Linked DNA regions of Mus musculus. The protein of the gene in region 7 interacts with the protein of the main gene of each other region in a pairwise test. Links are inferred from orthologs where the notes say so. Each region holds a gene or a part of one and is shown on either strand. Other genes may lie near its edges.

The links.
Region 1: the proteins of Lnx2 (region 7) and Phykpl interact in binary tests that used the Homo sapiens proteins (3 or more experiments, as listed by UniProt). The link is inferred for Mus musculus from reciprocal best matches to the Homo sapiens genes LNX2 and PHYKPL.
Region 2: the proteins of Lnx2 (region 7) and 2310057M21Rik interact in binary tests that used the Homo sapiens proteins (3 or more experiments, as listed by UniProt). The link is inferred for Mus musculus from reciprocal best matches to the Homo sapiens genes LNX2 and C10orf88.
Region 3: the proteins of Lnx2 (region 7) and Ptcd3 interact in binary tests that used the Homo sapiens proteins (3 or more experiments, as listed by UniProt). The link is inferred for Mus musculus from reciprocal best matches to the Homo sapiens genes LNX2 and PTCD3.
Region 4: the proteins of Lnx2 (region 7) and Lrrc8e interact in a two-hybrid assay, tested with the Homo sapiens proteins (3 studies listed by BioGRID and IntAct). The link is inferred for Mus musculus from reciprocal best matches to the Homo sapiens genes LNX2 and LRRC8E.
Region 5: the proteins of Lnx2 (region 7) and Map2k5 interact in binary tests that used the Homo sapiens proteins (3 or more experiments, as listed by UniProt). The link is inferred for Mus musculus from reciprocal best matches to the Homo sapiens genes LNX2 and MAP2K5.
Region 6: the proteins of Lnx2 (region 7) and Tubb5 interact in a two-hybrid assay, tested with the Homo sapiens proteins (3 studies listed by BioGRID and IntAct). The link is inferred for Mus musculus from reciprocal best matches to the Homo sapiens genes LNX2 and TUBB.

What each region holds. Positions count from the first base shown.
Region 1 is NC_000077.6:51,583,337-51,587,580, reverse strand, and holds the start of Phykpl (5-phosphohydroxy-L-lysine phospho-lyase), read right to left. Parts: upstream 2,801-4,244; 5' UTR 2,761-2,800; coding exon 2,702-2,760; intron 2,068-2,701; coding exon 1,949-2,067; intron 1,036-1,948; coding exon of another isoform or gene 1,021-1,035; coding exon 861-1,020; intron 1-860.
Region 2 is NC_000073.6:131,356,227-131,359,726, forward strand, and holds part of 2310057M21Rik (ATPase PAAT), read right to left. Parts: intron 1,441-3,500; coding exon 1,234-1,440; intron 1-1,233. UniProt on the Homo sapiens protein: ATPase that regulates mitochondrial ABC transporters ABCB7, ABCB8/MITOSUR and ABCB10. Regulates mitochondrial ferric concentration and heme biosynthesis and plays a role in the maintenance of mitochondrial homeostasis and cell survival.
Region 3 is NC_000072.6:71,880,138-71,882,450, forward strand, and holds the end of Ptcd3 (pentatricopeptide repeat domain-containing protein 3, mitochondrial isoform 1 precursor), read right to left. Parts: intron 2,093-2,313; coding exon 2,051-2,092; intron 1,528-2,050; coding exon 1,369-1,527; intron 1,095-1,368; coding exon 1,016-1,094; 3' UTR 501-1,015; downstream 1-500. UniProt on the Homo sapiens protein: Mitochondrial RNA-binding protein that has a role in mitochondrial translation.
Region 4 is NC_000074.6:4,229,827-4,233,326, reverse strand, and holds part of Lrrc8e (volume-regulated anion channel subunit LRRC8E), read right to left. Parts: intron 2,321-3,500; exon of another isoform or gene 1,865-2,320; intron 1,666-1,864; 5' UTR 1,661-1,665; coding exon 1,523-1,660; intron 1-1,522. UniProt on the Homo sapiens protein: Non-essential component of the volume-regulated anion channel (VRAC, also named VSOAC channel), an anion channel required to maintain a constant cell volume in response to extracellular or intracellular osmotic changes.
Region 5 is NC_000075.6:63,375,103-63,379,402, forward strand, and holds the start of Map2k5 (dual specificity mitogen-activated protein kinase kinase 5), read right to left. Parts: upstream 2,801-4,300; 5' UTR 2,156-2,800; coding exon 2,021-2,155; intron 1-2,020. UniProt on the Homo sapiens protein: Acts as a scaffold for the formation of a ternary MAP3K2/MAP3K3-MAP3K5-MAPK7 signaling complex.
Region 6 is NC_000083.6:35,835,502-35,839,634, forward strand, and holds the start of Tubb5 (tubulin beta-5 chain), read right to left. Parts: upstream 2,801-4,133; 5' UTR 2,553-2,800; coding exon 2,496-2,552; intron 1,236-2,495; coding exon 1,127-1,235; intron 773-1,126; coding exon 662-772; intron 539-661; coding exon 1-538. UniProt on the Homo sapiens protein: Tubulin is the major constituent of microtubules, a cylinder consisting of laterally associated linear protofilaments composed of alpha- and beta-tubulin heterodimers.
Region 7 is NC_000071.6:147,021,073-147,024,572, forward strand, and holds part of Lnx2 (ligand of Numb protein X 2), read right to left. Parts: coding exon 3,280-3,500; intron 1-3,279.

The DNA.
Region 1 (4,244 bases), on a different chromosome or scaffold from region 7:
GGGAGAAACAAAACCAACCAGGAGCTTTCTAGTGTTTCATTGTTTTTGTTTCCTGAGACAGGGTTTCTTTATGTGTCCTGAAACTCCCTCTGTAGACCAGGCTGACTTTGAACTCAACAGAGACCCACCTGCTTCTGCTGAGATTAAAAATGTCTGCCAGCACTGCCTGGCCTCTAGTGGCCTGAAGATAAAAACAGCTCCTTCCATTTGACTGTAGCCCTGGACCCTTTCCCAGGACCTGCTCACTCTTTCCTCTTTTGTTTGGTTTGACAACATTCCTTGCCCCTTCATGCCACAGGGCCTTTGCCCAGGCTGTGCCAGGTGGTGACCAACCTGGACAAGCAGACTTTCCCCAAAGTGACAGCACCCTTCCTTCCTTCCATCTCCCCTAGCTACCTCCCCAGGAGCTCTTAGCATCTACACAGAGGCACAGTCAAGTCAGGTCCCCTGCTGCTTGCTTCTAGGCTTCATTATTTAGTATTCTTGCTTCGGAAAAGGACACTGCCATACTTTTATATTTCTCTGAGGAACCACTAGATGTTCTCTGTAATCTTACATTTCTCTGAAGAATTACTTGGTGTCCTGTAAGCTTGCTGAGCCACCTGAGGGCTGAATCCACAAGGAATAAATAAACCCATTACTTCACTAAGTCCCAATGTGCCTAGAAGGGAGGCGGTGGTGTCCTCTACAAAGGAAGAAATGGGAGCCAACAGAAAGAGCTCTAGGATCTACAACCTAGAAGCCCAGGAGCCTCGCCATGAAGTTGGCTCCACGCTCCCAAGCTCTCTGCACTGCACCCACAGGGATGATTCTCTTTTCTGAACTTGTTCTCAACAGCATGTTGTCTGCTGTTCACTTACCCAGAATTCAAGAAGTAAAACACAGAGAGCTGCTCCGGCAGGGTCTCCGACAGCCTCTGGGCATAGTCCACGATGTTGTCATGCAGGTAGCGGCTGTTGGTGTTGAGCACTAGGTTCTGTTCATGTGCGGCTTGGACCACGGTAGGGTGGCAGTGCCCAACTGCAAGAGGGGCATCTGCATCAAGTGGCCGACGTCACCCAGCCAGCCCCACCAGATGCCCCCTCCGCTCTATCTGCAAACCCATCCAGGGGAGACGAAGTTAACGAAGGCAAAGTGGAAAGAGGGGAGTTAATGATGGGGCGGGGGAGCCCAGAAGAGAGTCCAGCAGAAGGAAAAGAGGGTCAGAAATGCTATCTAGAAAACAAAGGTTTTTAGAGAGGTATTTTGAGACTCAGCTGGAGGGGCACTGTCAGAGGGTCAGCCATGGCATCTGCATTCTTAGAGCTCACGTGCCAACATGGTCAAAGCAAGGTAGCAATAATTAACACAATTACCTACAACACCGGGCAGTGAGTTTACCAAAAAGGCCCAGGATTAAGTCATTTCTCCTGAGACAGGGTCTCTCTGTGAAGCCCTAGTTGTCCCTGAAACTTGCTATGTAGGCGTAGGCCAGGCTGGCTGTTAACTCAGGAGACCCCCCTGCCTCTGTGCCCTGAGTGCTGGGAGAGTCCTGGGTTTTAACCCTTACCTGCCTGCAATGTGCCTTCTAACAGCTGTGGTAGCCCAGTTGGCTGAATTCATACTAAAGTTTCCTATTACCCCTATAGTAGTCAATAGAGGTGAAGGCCTGCTGTCAGCACCCTGCACGAGGCCAAGATGAGCACACTACATTTGTGGTCATGGATGGGTGGACTGTATATATGCCTGGTTTGATGTGAGTTCCACGTGGGACGTGCAGCTTGGACCTTGGCATGTGAACCTCTCAGGCCTGCCTGGTTTAGCACAGCTATGGTGTGGAGTCTTTTCACAAAGACTGGGGTGCCCCCCTGAGCATCCGATTCAGTTCTGTTCAACCCAGGCTATCAGTCAGATCTATGGCCTCAGCCTCCTCCCCTGTCTCACCAAGGGTGAGAGGCGTCATACTGACCATGAGCCACGTTGTTGATACAGTCCAGGTACTCTCGCCCTTGCTCATCGTACAGGTACTGCCCTTGGCCTCGGATAATCTTAACAGGATCCTCAGGAAAAAAGAGTCTGCAGGAAGAGCTGTGGGGACAGGCAAAGGATCGACAACCCTGTCTGAAGACTGACCTCCACTCATTACAGCCCCCTTCACTCCTTCCTGATTCTGGGATGGACAAAAGCTTGCAGGGCACGGTGGAACTTCCCTGCCTCCCCATTCCTGTGAACAGGACGGAGCAGAAAGTTTCTGAGACAAAACTAAGCCTTTGTGGCCCTCTCAGTTTTGCTTGCACACTGAGACTCCTCCAGTCCCAGTGAAAAGGGCTTCGGAATGGCTTCCTGAAGAAAACCCCCTTGTTAGGAGCTGCATCTCAGCCCCTAACATTCCTTGCCAACCCAGTGGCCTTGCTGTCCCCGTTAGTAATGGCTAGCTCCAGTCCTAAGTTCCAACCATAAGCTTCTCTCCACGTGGCACCGAGGATACTCCTCACAGGCCAAGAGCAGACTTCCTGTAACCCTGCCCGTGACATGACTGCCCCCCAGGCCAGGCCCAGCTCCTTATGCAGGTGGCTGCCAGGGGCAAAGCTCGCTCCACGGGACAGGGGACGCCCCGGAGTCGCGGGGTGGTTCACGGCCGCTTCTAGTAGGCTGAGGGAGGCGGGGAAATCAGGGACTCGGGGTGGGCGCTATACGCGCTTTCGGAGCCCACACCCGGTACCTGAGCAGCCGACGTCTCAGGTCCAGAGTGACGGCCTTGGCGCGCGTGTCCGCGGCCATGGCGCCGAGCGGTCAGCCAGTACCCAGATGCTGCGCGCTTAGCTCCGCCTCCGCCCGCGACGTCAGCTCTGGGTGGGGCTTCAGTGCTGGTCCCGCCCCCAGGAGCTCCCTTCCCGGGCGTTTACGGAACTTGCAAGCGAGATAGCTTGCAGTTCACGTCATCACGGGCGGATACTCTCCGCTGATCCATGGTCGGACTTCGCCCTTCTCTCCTACGCCCGAGGTTTCCCTCCCAGGAATGTGTCCCCAGACCGCCAGGTGGAGCGGGACTCTAAACTGCGGCGGGGCACGCCCGAGCAGGTTGCTGTCTCTGCGCTGATAACGTGACACCCTGTGAGGGTAAATTACTGGCACCCTGGAAGGACAAAGGCCTTCCTGGCATGGCGCTGTAGAGTTCGGTGCCACTGCTGGGGCAGACCACGGAGATCTCTAGAAATTCTTGCTAGGATTAGACAGGATAAACTTGACATGTCGCTACAGGAAGAGAATTTTGCAGTGGGCAGATAGGAAGAGGTTTGGAAAACTTCTGAGTCCTACCTTATGTACTGTGCAGGAAACAGGCCCAGAAAAGAACGGCTTTGCTCCGAGGCACACAATAGGCCCGCTGCAGAGGCCGGACTAAAACAAGGTCTCCTGAACTCTTACCTAGCACACTGAGTGACAAGAGACCTCTGTGGTCCCGGAGGTGGGAGAGAAGGGATACTCCCTTATGGGTTGAGCGCTGGAGCTGACTGTCTTGATGAACCCTGGAACAAAGGCCTGAGAAGGCCCCTCAGCAGACTGGGGCAGTCTTGTTCACATGCCAGCCCGCTGCCCCATTCTCCAGTAGCTTATTTCTTTTCTTCCCTAGAAAACTGCAAAATGCTTACAGCACTTATTAAAGAACAGCTTTGTATTCTTGTGGTTTTTGTTTGTTTTTATTGTGGTAAAATATACATAAAAAAACAAGCAATTTTGAAGGGTACATACAATTCAGTGGCATTAGTACATTCTCAATGTTGCATCTTGTCACCAAAACCCAGTCACAGAGCCCTTCCATCTTCCCCAACTGAGCGGTATTTCATGTTTTTAACCATAAACCTACCTAAAAGTCCATCTTCCTGCTCAGAAAAGGCCTATCCTTCCTGTCCTTGGTCCCATCCTCTCTCCATTTTCTGGCATCTGTCCTTTCAAGGCAACCCTGGAGGCCAAGAAGGCACAGGCTGAAAGGAGGAAGGGACTGAACAAGACTTGGATGTAGTGGGGGGCATGGTGGTGCAAGCCTGTAATCCCAGCACTTGGGAAGCTGAGGCAGAGCTGCAACTTTGGGACCAGCCTAAGTTATGTATTGAGACCCTGTCTCAACCAACAAGCAATCATTCCCCTGCCCAACCCTTGAATCCAGAGCAGGGTTTCCTCAGCTGGCATTCACAGTGAGCAGCTTCACTACTGGGCGTGTCCAGTGTCCTGGATTTCAGGTGTATGCTAACCTCGACTGTCTTCTG
Region 2 (3,500 bases), on a different chromosome or scaffold from region 7:
TTAACTGTCTAGTCTCAACGACTCTGCGCTTCCTGGCCCAGCAATCGCATGACCCAGCGTCACACACGTTACGGCACACACGTTACGTCACACACGTTACGTTACGGCACCTACTGTAAACCACATCACCTCTCATGGGTGGGAAGTCACATACAGCTGGTCTCTCGGTTGTAGTCTTGCTTTCTTTTGACTTACTTTCCATATAATAGTGGTTTAAAATTTAAAACATGCCAAAAGCATTTACACACTTAAAATAGCATCAAAGCTCTCTATGATCCAGCACAAATCTTCAAATCTCTCCTGTCTACTCATTCCCTTTCGTTCTGAGCTGGATCTGACTCCTTCCAGCACAGAGGATCATACCCATTACTAGAGTCTCTCTAAAATAACCAGCCTCTAGGTGGCCATGACTCACCCACCTTCCTCTTCCATTACCCAAATGAAATGTGACCTTGGTTTTTTTCTTGGCAGTTCTGTGTAGCCCTGGCTGTCCTGAATTCATTCTGTAGACCAGACTGGCCTCAAAATCAAGAGGCCTACCTGCCGCTGCTTCCCAAGTGCTAAGATTAAAGTCTGGCCAATATACCTTTCTTAATCTCATCATTTGCCACATAGAATGCTTATAGGCTACACTCTAACTGATCACCTTTATACCCTCAAAGGGGAGCAAGCCAGAGTCTTGTTCACTACTGAATGAGCGCCTACAATGATCTGAGGAAGAACTGAAGATTCAGTCAGAACATTTTGTAGAAGGGCAAGTCTACAAAATGCAACTTTTACAAAAATTAAGAATGGATGACAGTTAAGTCAGTAGTAGAAATTAATAAAAAAATATGAATATTCCATATTACCATATTAAAGCCATCATTTAAAAAATTGTTTGGCTTTTGGGGTTTGTGTGTGTGTGTGTATGTGTGTGTGTGTGTGTGTGTGTGTGTGTGTGTGTGTATGCGCGCGGTTTGGGAGCAGGGGAGAGCTAAAGTCAGAGAATTGCCTCAAGTTCTCACCTTCCATTCTTCGGGACAAGGTATGCACCCTATCAAGTGGGTGGTGAACTTCAGGGAATCTCACCCCTTTACCTCCCATCCTTTTGTAGGGAAACAGGGATTACAGACATGTTTACTAATACCGCCTCCGTTTACCCAGGCTCTGGGAATCCCACCTCAGGGTTACTCACTGAACCATCTCCCCAAAATGGCATTTTAAAGTGTAGTAAAATATATCTCTACTTGCCTGCTGCTGAAACCTAATCATGCTCATGAGCTGCTGCGCTCCAGGCGATAACCTGGACCCCATGGACTCCATTATGGTTTGGATGTTGTCAAGGTCTATCCGTGATCCCAGAGCAGCAGAGCGCGGTGAAGGATCTGCAGACCGTGGCCTCAAGTGCACCACCACCTTACTGACAAGCACACACTGCTTCTCCCCGAAGGACAACAGCTGCCACGAAACAAAACATTCTAAGAAATGATGGTGGTTATTGCAAACAACTACCACATAGAAGACTTCTTAGTATTACCAAAACAAGACAGGGCATCCAAGAGTCTATAAGTTAACTTCAAACGCATTTAAAGTTTTCCTTATAGTAGTCAAAATTAGAAAATAAATTCCAATGTATCACGAGGCAAACACCAACTGTTTACATAAAGAAATCATTTCCAAGCCATAAGACATACAAGAAGAATACAAGCGTTTTGTTTACTTGGTTTAAGGAATTAAAAGTAAACCACACCTGGCTGGGAGCACAGCTCAGCGGTAGAGCACCTGACTAGCATGCTCAAGGTCCCAGGTTTGAGTCCTCCATATGACCAGGGGAAAAGAAGAAACCCAAGAACCCTGGATCTTAACATACCCCAGTTGGCTGGGCAGTGGTGGCGCACGCCTTTAATCCCGGTGCTTGGGAGGCAGAGGCAGGTGGATTTCTGAGTTCGAGGCCAGCCTGTTACAGACTGAGTTCCAGGACAGCAAGAGCTATACAGAGAAACCCTGTCTTGAAAAAAACAAAACAACAACAACAAAAAAAATCATACCCCAGTTGGCTTTAATATTATTTAATATAAAATAAAACTGCCCATACAAGACTTATCTATATCCCAATCATAATTCAGCCTTCTGTAGTTCAGAAAGGAAGGGGTGTGACGTCAGAACTGCTTAATAGGTAACAGCTGGTGCCAGGGTGACTTTCTAACTGGTGAAGGACACTCAGTGGGCCTAAGTCTCTCCTGGCTTTTTCCACCATACATTTCCACTTGTATTTTTGTGTCTTCCCATTTCGTTCCCTCTGGGGTACTAAGAGAACAGTACCTCCCACATGCTGGTCAGTGCTTGCCTCTGAGCCATGTTCCCTTCACTCTGGCAGTTTAGGCTATGCATGTTTCTCAACCAAAAGACATTCCACACGTGGTATGAAGGGACTGGCTTTAAATCAGACACATAAGTTTAAATTTTGAGTTCTGCCATTTTATAACCTTTGCACTCCTGGGCAAATACTCTGAACCAGAGGATGGTAAGATGACTTTGAATAGAGGTTTGTATCACTAAGTATTGCTCTGAATTCTCTACTAGGAACATTAACACAAGCTTTCCTATATGCCAGAGGGGCTTCCGAATTGAAAGCTCTCTTCAGACTAACACGTACTTCCAAGGATCAGTTACAAAAATTATTTACTTTGAAAGCCACATAAACTCCAGTCACAAGAACGCAGGTCAAAAAGAACTCAGGCTCTATAGACTCAAGAGTGGTACCAAAAAAGTATGTGGCAGTCCTCAAAGGTTAAGGAAACACTCATTAAGTTTACAGTCTACCTCATTATTACCTCCCTTCTTTTATCTATGTATTTTCAGTTTTTAGTTTCTTCCGATAGAAATCTCAGTAGGGAGCGCTGGCTGGTCTGGAACTCACCTCACAGAGCAGGCCTCAAACATGCAATGCTGCTGAGTGCTGGGGTTATCGGTGTGTGTGTCTCCATACTAGGTCTTACTGTCTCCTTTATAGTTTATAATCCCAGGACCATTTTTCATCATCGACTACAGTATCTTTTTTTTTGTTGTTGTTTTTTGAAACAGGGTCTCTATGTAGCCCTACTTGTTTTAGAACTCACTATGTAGATCAGGCTAGCTTTGAACTCATACAGATCCACCTGCCTCTGCCTTTGCCTCCTGAGTAATGGAATTAAAGGTCTGTGCTACCATGACCAGAGACTAGAGTAGATAGTTTATATTATATATAATCAGTAAATCTAGTTATCATCTGTCTTATCCCACTAAAATAGATGCAACATGGAGGCTGGCACTTCAGTTTCCAATTGATATTCCTACATGCCTGGTGCAGTTATCTGCTATCAACAGATACTAAAATATATGCTAGATGAATTAAATTACTTTATTTAAATGCCTTTATAAGGTATTAGTTTATTCCACTTAAACAGATGTTGGCATAACCGGCTTTGTGAACTGAGCTCTTCAATGAAAATCTTTTTTTTTTAAATTTTAAAACTAAG
Region 3 (2,313 bases), on a different chromosome or scaffold from region 7:
CTCAGTGCAAAACCTGGGAGGAGTGAGTGCATGGGCTGGTGAACCCTGCAAACCGCAAATTTGTAACTCCTTTCCATTAGTATCATTTACAAGAAGCACACCAAGTTGCTCAGTGGCAACATACTGTTACGACATTTCATATCCTTTTGTCATTACTAGCCCTCCAGATCTCTTTGAATACTTACTTATAAAGTGCCCACACAGACCAAAATGTTTTGTGGCAGTGGGGTGGAAATGGATGACCTCATCATCTTAGGCAAGAGCTGTACCACTCCTATCCCCTAAACATTCTTGGGTATTCTATTCCAAGAGCTGTACAAATCGTCCCTAAAATTTTTGAGTATTCTAGTTAGAAGATGACAAACTGTGTATGTATGAAACTTAGGTGGATTCCCAGAGCTGGCCAACCAGTCTAACTGAACCTGCAGTCTCAAGGCCTGTCTGAAGAAATAACCATTGTTCTCTGGCATCCATGTGAATATGTACACGCTTACAAAGAATTAGATTTTTAAAAATAACACAATTGCTTTATTTAATGACTTTACCATCTGGGCAGCCTAAACCAGTAGCTTGCTTCTGATTTAATTAGTTCTAAGAGCATCCATCTTTTTAAGTACTCTCAAAACGGGATACGATCAACTCAACAGTAATAACCCATCTCCATGAAAACCAGTTTGAATCCTTGTCTCTAGGCCAAAGGACCACACATCACAGAGCAGGTAGGCAGCAAGGGCCTGTGGGTTCTAACATGATGGGCGTAGTAGGAATGAGGCCTGCAAACAGTGTGTTTATGTGGAATTTGTTCTTCTCCAAAAGTCAGACTTCACAATGCTTGTTGCTGTCTTGGCAAAAAACTGGCCAGATGTGCATCTTAGCGGTACTGCAGATGAACCCCAGGGTCTTAGGTTTAGGCCAGTACAATACAATACAGAGCTTATATTGGATCCCAGCCCTGTATCTGTTTATTTTTACCACTTCTAACATTCCAGCAGCTATTGTGAGCCACCTCTCTCTCTCATTTGTCGTCACTGTCACTGTCACTGCTGCTTTCTCCATCGCTACTGTTCAGTTCAGTGAGGTTACCCAGGGCTTCTCTGTAAGGAAGAGAAATGATACCACACTTCAGCTCACAGGGTCAGGGTGTTTGGCATCTTTGATTATACACAGTCATAGCAGTTTTCAAAGCAGAAAAAGGATCCCCCAAACTGCACTGAACTATTATGAGAACAAAGAAAAAATTCCAAAAACCAAATGTTTATGATGAAGCCTGTAACAGAGCAAACAGGCATTACATCACCCACCAAACCCTGGCTTTGTAAGGGAAGCAGGAGAGAATGCTATAAGCACCAGAAGAGGAGATAGACTTACTTTTGTTCTGGGTCAACTGTGAAATCCATCACTACTCTTTGGGCAAGGCTCTCCCCAATAGGCAAGCTGAAGGCACTTGCCAGCTTTACAACCTCAATGGCCAGAGCAGTGCTACCGGATGCTTTCGCTGTGTCCATGAATTCCTCCAGCAATTCATTTCTGTATAAAAGAAGGCAAAACTGAACTGTACCCAATGCACTTTTCTACTGCAGACTTATATATCCAAGAGTCTTCATGTACGTAGGTGTACCATATGTCCACAGAGGCCAGTGCTGACCCCCTGGAATTGGAGTTAGAAACGGTTGTGAGCCTCCATGTGGGTGCTGAGAACTAAACCTTAGGAAAAGCAGCAAGGTGAGCCATTTCTCCAGTGTACCAAACTTAATAACTTTTAGTCAAATATTTATAGACGAGATTCAGAATATATTAATCAAATTCTCATTAACTTTGGACAAAAGATAGAGGATAACATTCTATATTCCACCCCCCCACCCCACCCCCTTCTCAAAATGATCACTGAATAGAGAAAAGGATGGCTTACAATGCCCTGAATGGCAGGAGAGAAACTGCTTGCCTGCCTAACTGGAGGGTTTAGGCATGTGAAGAAATTCCAACCACGCACCCAAGAGTCAAAGCCCATGTGACTAACTCAAGCCTGTACCAGCTGAGGCCCTCAACTTACCTGGGAATCTTCTTGTGCTTTTTGAAGAGTTCCAACATTTTCCTGTGGAAGAAGAGAACAGATGACTGCTGACAGAAAACAAGTGGCAGCTAGACAAAGCAAGCTATCCTTTTCTCGGGTTCAGAAGCTACGTGACCTACAAGTCAACTATTCAAACTTTTTCAATTCCTGTGGGCTCCACTAGCTCCCAATCTGGGTGCACAAATTCAACAGGTAAATCTGAGATGCAGCCGATTTAGAAGTGCTAGTTATATCCCCCACGG
Region 4 (3,500 bases), on a different chromosome or scaffold from region 7:
CCAGAGGGGCTAGGGTGTTGCTCAGTGGTAGAGCCCCTACCTAGAATCCCCCCGTGAGGGGCTAGCAGTTTGGCCCTGCAGTAGAATCCTGTTTAACACTGGAAGCCACAAAAAAGGAAAAAGTAAATGTGTATGGAAACACTCTAATATTATTTTAGACTTTGACCACTGCTTGTGGGGATGGAGGAGAGAAGGTAGGGGACTAGACTTGGTCTGTGTGGAGGCTTTGGCACTGCCTTCCTCTTGTCTGTTTCTCTTATTTTATTGATGATTTTTATTGAACCTGGGACCTCATGTAAGCTGGACAAGTACTCTAATACTGATACTTTTTCTTCTTTCCTATGTTATTTATTTTATTTTAGAGATGGTCTCACTGTATAGGCCAATTGACCTGGAACCCAGGATCCTGATTCATTTTCTCTATATCCTGGGAACGCAGGTGTGCACTGCCACACCTGGCCTTAATTTTAACTTTGAGTCTTGCTAAGATGCCTAGGCTTCAGATTTGTGATCCTCAGGCCTCTGTCTACAGAGCACTCACCACCATGCCCAGGCTCTTTCTCCCTCTTCTTAGGAGACTTGGGAGGCTTCAGGACTTCAAGCAAAAGGCCTACTCCTTTAGAGATCTGCTCTTTTACCTAGAGAGCCCAGCTGAACACATTTCCCTGTCTCATCATCATGGAGGGGTCTTACCCATATGCATAGCACAGTTGAAGACCCCCCTACCCCAGGCATGAGCATTGTCATGTTAAGACCACGTCCCTTTATGGTCCTGCCCTTCACCTGGAACGCAGCCATGGTGAGGCCCAGTTCCTTCATGACTGAAGGGGCTAGAGATTGGTTAAGAATACTTGTTGCTTTTGCAGAGGACCCAGGTTTGGTTCTGAGCACCCACATGGTGGTTTACAAGCATCTATAGTTCCAGGAAAGCTAACCTTTCTTTCTGACCTCCACAGGTGCCAAGCATACATGTACCTTGCATGTACACATACATACATGCAGGTCAACACTCATACACATAAAAGAAAAAGTTTGTGTGGGTTTTTTTTTTTTTTTTTTTTTGATTTTTCGAGACAGGGTTTCTCTGTGTAGCTCTGGCTGTCCTGGAACTCACTCTGTAGATCAGGCTGGCCTCGAACTCAGAAATCCACCTGCCTCTGCCTCCCAAGTGCTGGGATTAAAGGCGTGTGCCACCACGCCCGGCCAAAATGTGTGTTTTTAAAAAGACACTCATGAGGAGAGTTGCCAAGATGTGTCACACCTTCACATCCCCAGCCTCACCCCTAACCTGGAAAGAGCAGCTCAAGGCCCCAGTCATTAGCATGGTCAGGAATATGGCCACAATGAGAGCCAGATCCCGTGTACCCCCTCCCCTGTCTGCTCTTTCACCTACAGAGTTTATTGCCATAACATGGCCCTGCCTTGCCACATCCCACTCATTGTCAAGAAGGTGTGTCCTAAAACTCTAGTCATAGGAACTGCCAATGTGTGTGGCCCTGCCCGGGTTTGTTTTGTTCCTCACCTGGAGGGTGCACCCGAATACCCCGATCATGAGCATAGCCACGGTGAGGTACTCAGCCAGAACATCCCACCAGGGTTTGAGCACCTTGAATGCAGGCTGCTGCTCTGTGAACTGCTTGAACTCCGCCACTGGGATCATCCTGCCTATGGGAGTCAGAAGACAAGAGGGGTTGAGACACCAAACAGTGAGAGCAAGGGTGTGCCTGGTGGAAACCCCGAGAGGCCAGACATAGCTCAGAAGCCTACGCACTCTCAGCCTGGCCAGAACTTTCTAGAATCTATGCATCGTTGTATGTTCCCTTCCCCTCTTAGCCGGGGTCTTGTTGCTTCCTTCGGAACTCACCTCTTTCCCAGTCTCACAGCGTTTCCCCTCCTCCAAAGCACAGGTTTATCTTTCACTGCCTGCCCTCTTCAGAACTCTGTGAGAGTAAAAAAACTACAGGGCAGCTGTCCTCCAGTCTCCTCCTTTGGCTGCCCACCTCTGAAGGAGGAAGCCTGTGACATTCGTTCTGGTACTCCTTTATTCTAGCTGGGTTCTCACCTCCACCTTGCCACCAGGGTATCCCCAGGCTCAAGACTTCCGGGGTGTGCCCCCCTACAGGGGTGCTCTGGGCACCACCTCCATTCTCTAACCGGAAAAGCCGGCTAGGGAGAAGCAAGCTGGAGCGTGGCTGTGCTCTAGTTAAGGGCCTCAGGGGTTAGGGAGTGGCCAGGCTGAAGGCTACTGAGCCCTGGAGGCATGTGCCAAGACACCTGACTGTTCAGATAGGGACTAGAGCCTAGAATCTGAAGTGGAAATAAGAAATCTGCCCCCCACCCCCACCCCCGGGGAAGAGTTTTGGCATGTGTGGAAGCATGAGAATCACTAAACTGGAAAACTCTCAGGGTGACACCTATGACTGGAGCCTGGCACAGGGCTGCCAGCCCACTCTGTCTATCTCTGGTTTCCTTTTCTACTAAGGTATCATTATCACAAAGGCCAGACCCAAGTCACACGGGGGTGTAGAATGTGAGCTAAGACAGGACTCCCAGGAAGTCAGCTACTTGCTTAGGGCAGAGAAGGAAGCAAAGAGTGAAGGTCTCTTGGACAGCCCACCCCTGTCAGCATCCAAGCTTTGTGCGCGCACACACACACCAAGGTGTGGATATGGAAGAGTAGGGGGTTCTGTAGAAAAGGGAGCAGGCATTACGTCTTCCTATATAGAAAATATGACACTGAGGTCCCAAGTTCATCCTGAACCAGGTACATGTAAGGAGACGACCAGAGAACAAGGTCCTTTACATATGCTCACCAAACACTCTCTTAAAAGTCTCAGGCTGTGGAGTAGCTCAATTGGTAGGGCACTTTTCTGGCATGTACAATTCTCTGAATCCAGTCTCTAGCACCACATAACTAGGCATACTGACACATGCCTGCAAATCTTAGCACTTGGGGATTTCAGGTAGGAGGATCAGAGTTCAAAGTTATCCTCAGCTACATAGGAGACTCAAAGCCAGCCTGGGTTACATGAAACCACATTTCAAAAAGAAATTTTGTTGCCCTCCTTAAAGAGGGGCTGTAGCTTAGTACTAAGTGTTTGCAAGAGTGTCTCCAGAACTGGAGGGGAAAAAATCCCAATCTTCATAATCTGACAGAAATAACGAGGGGAGAGAGATGACTCAAGGGATGCTACACATGTAAAATCAAGGACCAGTTCCCTGTCTCCACCTTCCACGACCCACGTCACAGTGTCACAGTTCCCAACTCTGCCAGGCTACCCTCACAAGTCACAGGCCAGGAGACAGGAGCCCTCTGCTCAGCTCCCAGGAACAAGACACGATGTAGACACACAATCAGAGGGAAGCACAGGGGATTATCATTGTCTGGCCCCGTGACTCAAACAAGATCTTGCAGAACCTGCCATTAAATTCCAGCAGGCAGATGGAAGGCTGGCCCCCTTCCCTGTGTCTGGACAGAGATAGTGGAAAGGTCACAGAAC
Region 5 (4,300 bases), on a different chromosome or scaffold from region 7:
AACACGGATGCATACATGCCATGGCCATGTGTGTGGAAATCAGAAGACAGCATTCAGGAGTTGGTTCTACCATAGGTTCCACGGACTGTACCCAAGTTCAGGCTCACACAGCAAGCACCCATTGGCCCCTCCTCAAGTCTCAGATGCTATGACGCAACAGAAACAGAGCTCTTTCTCTCCTCCAGATGTTTACATTCTAGAATAGACAAGCACATCATCCTGAATGCATGCTTTGCCACAGGGATGGACATAGGACTACCATGGCAGCCACCTGGCAAACACTGACACAGGGAGAGTGAGGCATGGCAGGGAAGGGTGGGTGAGAGCCAGACAAAGAAGGCAAAGTGGAGGCACAGCCTGGGTACCTGGGAGTACTGACAGTAGCTCTGTACACCTGGGACACAGGATGCTCAAGAAGATGTGGCAAGAGAGGACATAGGTGCCAGGATAATCAAGATGAGCCTGAGGACAGCAAGGAGGACTGTGGGGCCTTATGAGGAAAGGAGACTAGCACTGTGCATATTGTGAAGAGCACCAGCTGCAGAGAAGGGATGCCATTCGGGGTCAAAGACTGGAGGCTGCTAGCTCACCTAAGGTGCCACATGCTTGGCTTAGACCCAAGCATGGCCTTGGTGGTACGAGCATCTAGCTTTCAAAATGAAATTATAGATACCACCATTTCATTTTTTATCAACCCAAGGCAGTAAATGACACCACTCAGTGTTCTCTTATAGTCCCTGTAAGTCAGACGGCACATCTGCCTGTTAAAACATTCTTCCCCGTACACCAAATTCTCCTGCTGAGTTACTGTGGACATACATATATGTCACCCTGTTAATGTCAACTGACTAGAAAGATGCACGTGGACTGAAGTATATGGGGACACTACAGGAAACAAAAGTAAATTTGGGGGCCAGGGAGATGGCTCAGCTGGCAAAGTGTTTCCTATGCAAACATGAGGGCCTGAGACTAATCTCTAGACCCATGTTAAAAAATAAAAATAAAAAATAAACAAAAACAAACAAATAAACAAAAAACCTAGGAAGTGGGTGCTTGACAGGTGGCCCAGGCTTGGTGGCATGAGTGCTTGTAATCTTAACATTGGGAATGCTGAAACAGGCGAATGCCCAGGGCTTGCTGGCCAGCCAACCCTATCCCAAAACAACAAGGTGGATGGCACCTGAGCACATCTGAGGCTGATCTCTGATCTCCACATGCACGCACACACATCTGCACACACATATACTCATATACTAAGTAAGGAAGCTATAGTTTTGGCACTGACTCTCAACCTCAGGAGCAAGTCCTCGGAAGGTCCTTTTACTCTCTATTCAGGACAAACACACACATACATAATGTTTTATAGTATATATTATATATGGACTCAAGGGCCAGCCTACATTAACCTTCATAATTTTGTGTGAAATATATTCTAAGCATCCCAAGGCAATGCACTGTTGATTCTAAGATGTAAATTTTCCCTGAACACTCAACATCTCTGAAATTGAGCTGTGTTTGTCACGGAATGATGTGCTGTAGTTCTAACAGGCAGCATCCTTTCCATATTGATAGTTAAGTCTAGGTCTCCCATTCAGTGGCATCTAAGGTTTGCTTAACCATTGTAAACTAAGATTGCCCTGGTGTCCCTTTCCCAGCAGGTCACAAGTTCAGGAAACTCAGCAGTGACAGGGCTAGAATGAGGGCAGGAATCCTTTCCAAATACTTGAGAAAAATATAAGAAACAGTTTTAAAACTCTTTACATCCCAGTTGTCTGCACTGGTGTGTAAGTCACAGTCCAGACTGTGAGCTTCCTGAGGGCAGGGGTTCAGTCGGATACATCAATTTCCCAGGGCGCTGCACATTTACCAGTTTTCAGTGAGTGCAATTAACCGAGACTGTGGTTAAAACAGGTAAGTTGACCCCACCAGAGGCCAGCTCAGGCCACCAATGGTCAAGATGCTGCCTATCCAGATCCATAATCCCCAACGCTGGGATTTGGCCACTAAAGTCACCACTCACCAGAACATCCCTGAAGAGTAACTGCGGCCCGGAGTGCACGGTCCAGTCCACCGCGCCACTATTTGGAATCTTGATCCGAATCACCAGCACCTGGTTCTCCATGGCACAGAAGGGGCCAAGGGCCAGCCACAGCATTACAGGTTAAAGGGTCTCACATCCTGGGGCGAGGGGTACCGACCTGCCCCTACTTAGGAGGAGCCCCAAGAAGTGACAAGGGGAACGATAGACAGAAGGCAGGCGATAAATAGGGAGCAAGAAGATGGGGAGAAGTGAAGAGGAGCGATCAGGAGGGAGCTTGCAGGCCCAAAACCAGGCCCAGGTCGTGTGGAGTGTCCCTAGGAGAGGATGCACTGTTGGGGGACCGGCCAAGAGGAATTAGTAGAGAGCGGAAGGTCCTGGAGTTACAAAAGTGGACAAAACAGAACCCACAAGCATTCTGTAGTCCTTGTGAGTAAGAGGAGACAGCGGAGCAACGGCCTGGTTTAAGGCAGGTACAGTGGCCAGGGTCCTGCCGTCCTGAGTGTCTCGGTGGGCAAGGGGACGGTGGCCGGGCGCCGCGGGCTGGGTCGGGGCTGTTTCGGAGGTGCACCGGTGGCGCCTGCCCTCCAACCAGGCAGGGGGGCCCAGGGCCGCGGGGTCAAGGGGCGGGTCCCGGACCGCAGCCGGAACCGGAGGGCGCGGCGCGTGCAGGATCGTCCGACTGAGGCCCGCGTCCCGGCAGCGGAGGTGGCGGCGAGAGGAGGAGGAAGGCGGCCGTTAGACCGCTGTTACTCCGGAACCAAAACGCGATGGCGCCGGAACCCGGGGAGCCGACATGTGGGACCCGCCTCCTGGGGCGCCATGTTGGAAGAGGGCAGCTGGGGCGGAGCAGGGATCTCGTGCTAGGACTGGCTGACTTCCATCTCTTCAGGTAGTGGTAAAGGAGCCTAGAAAACCCAGGAAGACACGGATCTACGGCTGGGGGCTGTCCGTAAAACAATTTAAGGTTTGATCATGCAGAAAAGGCGGTGAAGGACAAGACGGCAGCACCAGCTTGTCAAGTTATATACCTTTTACTATCCGCGGGTTTGTTACATTAAATCGGCAAGAGCCAGGCAAGACCTTTTTATTAAAAAAAGAAAAAAAAAAAAAAAAGCATGTTTTTATGCCCCTTCTTCCAATTAACAGTTCCAAAATACCACTATTTTTTCTCCCACGTTAGCAAAGTGTGCATGAATTTTTCAGTGAGGTCCTTTACCCTAACCAGTGACCTACAGTACCAAGCAATCTCCTACTCAAAAGCAACAGTAAAGAAACTCAATGGAGAGCGCTTAACTGCCTGGGGACAGCTGTATTTCTGGCATCATAATATCTTATTCAACCGTTGCAAAAATATCCCGTCTGTTCCATATATTTTCAGCTAAATTGCAGTGTTTATGCAGTCAGTGATAGCAGGGCAGTAGCCGTAAACCTTGGTTATTTTTAAATGCCTTGTTACCTCACATTTTAAAGTGCATAATCCTGTTGATCTATGTGTCTATACAAAAGAATTGCTTACAAATGGCAACGTGTAGGTAGGCCCTTTATTTGTAATTAAATTATGCTATTATCTCTACCTTTTGGGGCTGATTATGCATAAACATAGTGCGTGGGGTGGTGGGACCAGTGTCCACTTTCCCCGGAATAAACAGATATGTGATTAATGTAAGAGGAGGAACAATTAAATGTTGATCATTTTCAATGTAATACCAAAATTTGTGGCATAATTTCCTCTACTTGGGCTTTTTTCCTGTTGCATTTGAAAGGCCATTGTAGGAGATAAATGACCATCTTTTAGTTATTATTCCTTAATAGCTTAGGTAGGAATTCACGTAGACCGATTCTCCAGGTACTGTTGGAACTACCCCTTTGTAACTGCTCTTCAGTGCTAAAGAAAAATTCACTATTTTGCCATGTACTTCTTAATCTAAACTTTATTTCTATTATTAAGGAAAATTAACTACAAAACTAGAGATTTTCTATTAACCTATGATTTGTTAAAACGTCTTTTTAAAAATTCATAGTACCATAGGGAAAACCAACACCATTTGCCAAATTTGCATGTATATTCTGAAGCACTTTTTTAAATATATGAATGGCAGTCTCTCAGCTTCCCAAATATCTAAAGAGCAAATATAATCACATTTCAACTTTTTGTAGCCTTTACATAGCATGAAATCTTAAGACTTTATTATTTGAGCAGAGTTTCACAGAACTATTAACATTCAAAAGTACCTCTTTGTTAAGTAATATAAACACCAC
Region 6 (4,133 bases), on a different chromosome or scaffold from region 7:
GGGGCAAAGCCAGGCATGAAGAAGTGGAGACGTGGGAATGGCACCATGTTGACAGCCAGCTTTCGAAGGTCAGCATTAAGCTGGCCCGGGAAACGGAGGCAGGTGGTGACGCCGCTCATGGTGGCCGAGACGAGATGGTTCAGGTCTCCGTAGGTTGGCGTGGTGAGCTTGAGGGTACGGAAGCAGATGTCGTAGAGGGCCTCGTTGTCGATGCAGTAGGTCTCATCCGTGTTCTCAACCAACTGATGGACAGACAGGGTGGCATTGTAGGGCTCGACCACGGTATCAGACACTTTGGGCGAGGGCACCACACTGAAGGTATTCATGATACGGTCAGGATATTCTTCCCGGATCTTGCTGATGAGCAGGGTGCCCATGCCAGAGCCAGTGCCTCCACCCAGTGAGTGGGTCAGCTGAAAGCCTTGCAGGCAATCACAGCTCTCCGCCTCCTTCCGCACCACATCCAAGACAGAGTCAACCAACTCAGCTCCCTCTGTGTAGTGGCCTTTAGCCCAGTTGTTGCCTGCCCCAGACTGACCTGGAATGCAGTAAGGGAAAAGGTTTAATCACTAAGATATGAGAGAAACACAAATACTTCTTAATCTTTCAACGACTGGAATAATTCAGTTGAGCAAATAGAAATCGATTCCACCTAACTCACCGAAAACGAAGTTGTCTGGTCTGAAGATCTGGCCAAAAGGACCTGAGCGAACGGAGTCCATAGTCCCAGGTTCTAGATCCACCAAGATAGCTCGAGGGACATACTTGCCACCTGCAGGAATTCAAGTCAATGTTTGACGGATCAGCAATGCATTACCTCTGGGTGGGAGATCAGCCACAAAGCACTAAAGTTGTCATTCCAGGCACTACCACCTGGTGGCAGTAGAGCTAATCTTTAGTCCCTTAGGGTGTGAGTCTAGGGAAAAAAAAATGGGAACCATGCAGAGGGGTAATAGATACTTAGAAGTGTGGAAAAACAGGGCGTGGTGATGCTCTCCTTAAACCCAGCACTTGAGAGGTAGACGATCTATGGGAGTTCCAGGGCAGCCAGTGATGCATTCATCTGGGCTCACTGTCCAATACAGGGGACAGGGAATAAATGTTAAGTGGGGATTTCTGCCCTCACCTGTGGCTTCATTATAGTACACAGAGATTCGGTCCAGCTGCAGGTCGCTGTCACCGTGGTAGGTACCGGTGGGGTCGATGCCATGTTCATCGCTTATCACCTCCCAGAACTGCACAGGGAAGAGCAACGAGGCCTCAATGTCTCAAGTCCTAAGGCATGCCTCCCGCCCCTCATTTCAATTCCAGACACGCTGAAACGAGGCTGAGGTGAAGACACTGCAATTCCGTTATCTGCTTGCGGAAGTCCCATGGAGGAACCTACGCGATGGAAGGCTAAAACCTTTCGGCATAGGACCGGTGATGGGTGGGTCAGGCGCTATAAACCTCTATGTGGGCGGATTGGAGCCCACCTATTTGGCTTTGCACCCAGGTTGGCTCCTGAAGCCAGGAACCGCCCTTCCAGGCCAGCACAAAAGAGTTGGGGGAGAAAGGTGCGGCCACTGCAGTCGCCCACCCCTTACGTGCTCCACGTGACTGCGGTGGCGGGCCGCTCCTCCAGCAAACCACAAAGGCGGGAGCAGCGCGGGCGGGGCCTAGCTCGAGGGGCGGGGCCAGTGCGCCCCCGCGGGTAGGGGCCGCATTGTCCCTGCGCGCCAGGGGCTCCAACCCCGCCCCCAAAGGGTCCCACCCTTCGGCTACAATTTAGCGGCCGCACTTCCTCCCTCCCCTCCCCCGCTACATTGTTAATTGCTAGCAAAAAAGGGGGAAAAATCTTTAAAAAGCCCCATTGCCTATCTTTATTCCCTTCCTTCCCTCTCCTTAGTCTCCCAGACAGTCTCACATATTTGAAAAGCTCACTTTCATACCGCTCACACCCTAAAGGGCAATGAAAAGTAAAAGTAGGCCCCTATACAGAGTCATTACCTAAAAAAAGCATTGGGATGGCGGGTTCGATGGAGTGTCCAAGCCTTTGTTGAGAGGTAATGCGCACCGGGCACCTCTGCAGCTGCCCGCCAAACCTCGCCCCTTCCCCCCTCCATTCTGTTCCAGTAGAGCCCTCCAGGCTGGGTGGGGGTGGCGCAAGGGGAAAACCTCGCCTCGGCTTTGTCTCGGATCGTTTCCGCATCCCTCCAGTCCTCGAACCGTTAGAAAACCCCTTTTAAGACCAGCTCTTCACAGTCCCTCAGCCTCTCCTTTTCCCTAAACTCGAAAGGCTCTTTTATTAGCTTTCCGAAAATGTGCCAAGAAAAACATTTCCTCATTTTTCAATATCAGAACGCTAGCTACAAATATGGGTTATATTTATACGTGAAAAACTTTGAGGGGCCAAATCTGACGGGTGGAGAATGCAAGAACTCCGTGAACAATGCTCACAATTAACACAGAATTCTCATCTTTACATATTTCAGCTAAAATTTTAAAGTCCTTACCTTAGCACCGATCTGGTTGCCACACTGTCCGGCCTGGATGTGCACGATTTCCCTCATGGCTACGGTTTACTGAAATAATTGTTTTTGATGGTTCCAATGTAGGTACCGAACAAGAAAGAAAATTAAGGTTTTTGGGGTTTTTTTCTTCTGGGCCGGTCTCAGACTGAAAGGATGGACCGGAGCCCGGGAGGCTGCAGCAGCGAGATGCAAGCACGACCGCAGGAAGGTTCTAAGAGGCAGAAGAGGCCGGCGAGCGCAGGAGGGAAGGCGCGCAGGGCGGGGCTCGCGTTCGCGCGGCCGGGGGCGGGAGATAGGCGGGCGCCCCGGGTCTTAGACAAAGCCTACCCAACCAGTCGCTGATTAGACCAACCGATCACGTGCCAGGCGGCCATTGGTTTCTGAGCCAGTGGCGAGCGCAGTCTTTTTTGGGAGTTGTAGTTCTCTATTGTTGTCCACGCTGCAAAAAGAAGTTAGGAATGGGTGGGTACTGTATGAGGAATTGGGGTTATCTTGTGTGTGTGTGATTTTATTTTTTCATGAAAAATGTCCTCACACGAGATTCCTATTTTCTATTCTGAGAGAGGATTTTGTACTAAAAGAGGTTTGGAGAAATGTAGTAATTAGGAGATCTGAGGTGCCAGAGTTGGAAGGTGTGTTGGACACGCCCTGCCAGCTGCCCACCGCAGTAGGTCTAGAAAAGCCAGACTGCATAGCTCAGCGGAAAATCCTGAGAACTATGTTGTCCTTCCCTGATACACAGTATCTAGTTCTTTGTGATCCCAAGACAGGAATTTCAGTAAGGCACAGCTCCCTCGCATCCCTCCAGAAGAAAGAATTACCCTTCTGTTTCCAAGGGAGTTGTCTCAAGGATTTTCAAAAGAGAAACAAAATTGCAAAGATCGTGGTGAAAACTGCATGGAGCTGATGTCCCAAAAGAATGAAGGTGTACTGGCTGGTTTTATGTGTCAACTTGACACAGACTGGAGTTATCACCGAGAAAGGAGCTTCAGTTGGGGAAATGCCTCCATGAGATCCAACTGTAAGGCATTTTCTCAATTAGTGATCAAGGGGGAAGGGCCCATTGTGGGTGGGGCCATCTCTGGGCTGGTAGTCTTGGTTCTATAAGAGAGCAAGCTGAGCAAACCAGTAAAGAACATCCCTCCATGGCCTCTGCATCAGCTCCTGCTTTCTGACCTGCTTGAGTTCCAGTCCTGACTTCATTCAGTGATGAATAGCAATGTGGAAGTGTGAGCTGAATAAACCCTTTCCTCCCCAACTTGCTTCTTGGTTGTGCAGGAATGGAAATCCTGCCTAAGACAGAAGGTGTATGTAAAATCTGCGTGGGATTTGGGCCTTTCAGACGACGCTGAAGACATTCTGGTCATCCTGTCAGGACAGGCTGTAGGGTGGACAGACTAAGAGAATGTCAGTCTTTAGACAGTGCCTCCCTCTCTCAGACACTTGCTTGAAGCAAGGGGATTTGTTTGTTTTTCCAGTTAAATGATTTTATTCATTAGGTGAGTCTGTGGCAATGTGCTGGAACTGAGCAGGAAGAAGGGAGTTGATTGAATGGGCTCAAGTTAGAGGCCTTAATGTTCTCTTTCCAGGGTTTCGAAAATTACTAAGTATCCTCAAAGC
Region 7 (3,500 bases):
GGGTGGTGCTTTAATTTAGAGGAGGGGCTGATATTGTCCCTTCCCCTGGACTCACAAGGACTCACACCTTTCTGGGAGACTCTAACGGCAGCTCGGCCTGGAGAACACCAACAAACACATTGTTCTCCATGAGCACAGAGATGCTACAGGCAAAGTGCTGCCTACTCATGGCTTGGAGGATGCTAGCCAGGGAGGGAGGGGGCACACTACACTTATATGTCCAGCGGTCTATGAACCTGGGAATAAGCAGCAAGTAAGATCTTAAAAACAAACAAAGTGAAATCCTTTTAATAAAAGTCCTCACTGGGAGCCGGGCGTGGAGGCGCACACCTTTAATCCCAGCACTTGGGAGGCAGAGGCAGGTGGATTTCTGAGTTCGAGGCCAGCCTGGTCTACAAAGTGAGTTCCAGGACAGCCAGGGCTATACAGAGAAACCCTGTCTCGAAAAACCAAAAAAAAAAAAAAAAAAAAAAAAAAAAAAAGTCCTCACTGGGAAGTGAAATCGGGTATGCAGTGATCTTCATCATCAACCTGACTGGGTTGGGAATTACCTGGGAGACTCACCTTTGGGAAGATGCACCCTGAGTGTGGATACCACCACCCCAGAGTCCCACACTGAATAAAAAGGGACAAAGAGGAGGTGTGCTGAGCACCAGCTGTCATCTCTGCTGCCTCAGGATGTCATGTGACCATCTGCCTCAGGATGCCGGTGACTAGCAGTTGCCTCAGGCTCCATCCTCAGAGCCAGCCCTCCCTCTCTGCCTTGATGGCCACAGCCTCAACATGTGAAACAAGCCTTCCTCCTCCTCCTCCTCATGTTGCTTGTGATTTGTTTGTCCCCACCGGAACTAATACAAATATCAGAGACAAGGCTATCTGGTTTCTAATCTGCTACAAATGACAAACAACCTCCAGCATGGTGCCACAACCCTTAGCTCAGGGGTAGGGACTTCTAAAGAGGCTCTGGCAAGCCGGAAGTCTCACCCCTGGCCCAGATCCTCAGGCACAGTACAGTCACCTTCATAGCTCTGCATCCTTTACAGCAAGCAGGCCAGCATCCGGTGTAGCAGGGCAGTGCAGGGGAACTCAGGCCACACAATAGCCTATATGTATAGGCATCCATTCAGGCAAGCTCAAAAATGTATCTCACTATACTGTCAACTTGTGACAACTTGTCTAAAACCCTTTCTGAGCTGAGGGGAGGGGCTGGCTCAGTTGCTAAAGTTCTTGCCTGGTAAGCTACAGGACCCACATAAAAAAAGCCGGACATGGGGCAACTTACATCTGTAACCACAGTGCTGGGCACGGGGCGGGGGCAGCAGCGCTAGGCAGACCCCAAAAGCTCACTGGCTACCAGCCTAGCCAAACGGTTCAGTGAGAGATGCTGCCTCAACAAGCAAAGGTGTAGAGCCATCAAGGAAGACAGCGGATGTTGATCTTCAGCCTACACACACACACACACACACACACACACACACACACACACACACACACACTCACTCGTGGACGGGGACACACACACACACACACACACACCCTCACACCACACACACTGATGCAAACAGATACAAACACACAGATACATACAAACACACACACACACGCACACACAGATGACACAAATCCTTTCTTGCTATGCCTGGCGTGCCATAAAATGCAATGCACAACAGTGAGAACATGCAGCCCCCAAACCAGGCTGGCACAGAGCCAGCTAAAGGCAGCACCAGGGTCCCGGGATTTCCTAGGAGGTTGCTATTCTGACCGATCCCCCATTGTCCGGGCAAACAGCTTCTAACCTCTTTATTGTTGTTTTGTTTTGTCGTTGAGACAGCCCTGGCTATCCTGTATCTCACTATGTGGACCAGGCTGGCCTCAAAATAACAGAGATCCACCTGCCTGTGTCTTCGGGTTCCATCCTTGTCTCCCAGCCACTCTGGGATGAACCTGACTACCCAGGTATCAGCTGAACAAGACTCCTGAGTTCCCTGGTTTAGACAGTAGCTCTTGCAGCAGTGGGATAGTAATCATTTGCGCCCGGTTTTCAAAAAGGATCCATTCTATGTGAATGTCTGTTTCCTACATGTATGTATATGTGCACCATGTATGTGCAGTGCCAGCGGGGACAGAAGAGGGTGTGGGAGCCTCTGAAACTGCAGACAGTTGGGAGCCGTCATGGGGGTGCCAGGAACCATACCAGGGGCCCTTGCAAGAACGCCAAGTGCTCAGATCCACAGAGCCATCTCTGCAGCCTCTGACTCCCAGGGCTGATGCCCTGATAAACATGCAGGACACAAGAAGGTCACTTTCCCATCATCAATCCCACTCCACAAGGTCCTGCCACGTCTGCGAGACATCACTTCTAGGCCTTGGGATTGAAAACCAAGAAACAAAACCACCAAGAGCTCCCGGGAGCCAGCCAGAGAGCTGGGGCAGGAGCGAATGAACGCAACCCCTCGGAGGTACCTGCTGTTCCTCATGAGAGAGTTCTTCACGGAGCGCACAGCGTGCGGGAAGCGCTCCTGGCTGTACACTACCTTACCCCACATGAGGCAGATGACTCAGAAAGTGGTGCAGCGTTCTGGTTTATTTTTATTTAGGAACCAGCAGCTTCGTACTTGGCTAATAGTCAAACATGCTTCACCATGCTTTTTATAGATAATGAGAATCTAAATTACTTTAGACACAAATAAGCACAGTAACACACGCTCTTCCTATCTCAGCACCAGCAGCAACCATCTGGAGAAAGGCAAGCACCCCAGGGTGCCAGGGAGGTTCCAACGTTTCCCTGGTCCCTACCGGCCAGCCAGAGAGCAGCTTGCTGGTCACGTCTCCTTTGTTCAGTACAGACTCAGTTCTAACTACCTTTTTACAAAATGATTCTAAGCTCTTGGCTAGCCTAGGCTACAGAGTGAGACCCTGCCCCAGAAACTCTCCTGTACAAGTGTGAGGCCCTGAGTCTGGATTCCCAGAGCCCAAACAGAAAAGCCAGGTGTGGTGGTGTGTGCCTGGACTCTCAGCCCATGTACAAGGGGGAGACGCAGTGCCGCCCCCCCTCAAAAACACTAAACAAAACAAAACCCCCAAAACAACAACAAACAAAAATCCCTCCTTAAAGGGAATTGTCTTCGTTTTACAAGAAGATACACTTTTTTGCTTTTATAATTTGGTGCACTTTACCTAACTAACGCCCTCTCTACGCACTGGGTGAGTTAACCGTGTAACTGATAAAAGTTAAAACACGCTCACTCTGAGACATCAGACCGAGAGAGCTCTTGGTACCTTGGCAGCCCGAGCCACATGACCCAGGACGGGGACCAGCTGGCGTCGTACTCGTTCTCACTGAAGGCGCTCGGCTGCTCCTCGGTGGCCTGGGCTGCTTCCTCGGCGATCTGCACTTCCAGGGCCTTGAGGATGACGGCCGGAGACGCAGCGCTGGCTTTCAGCATGGCCACAGCCTCGCTGTGACTTAGGTTGGTCAGGTCAATGCCGTTGATGTTCAG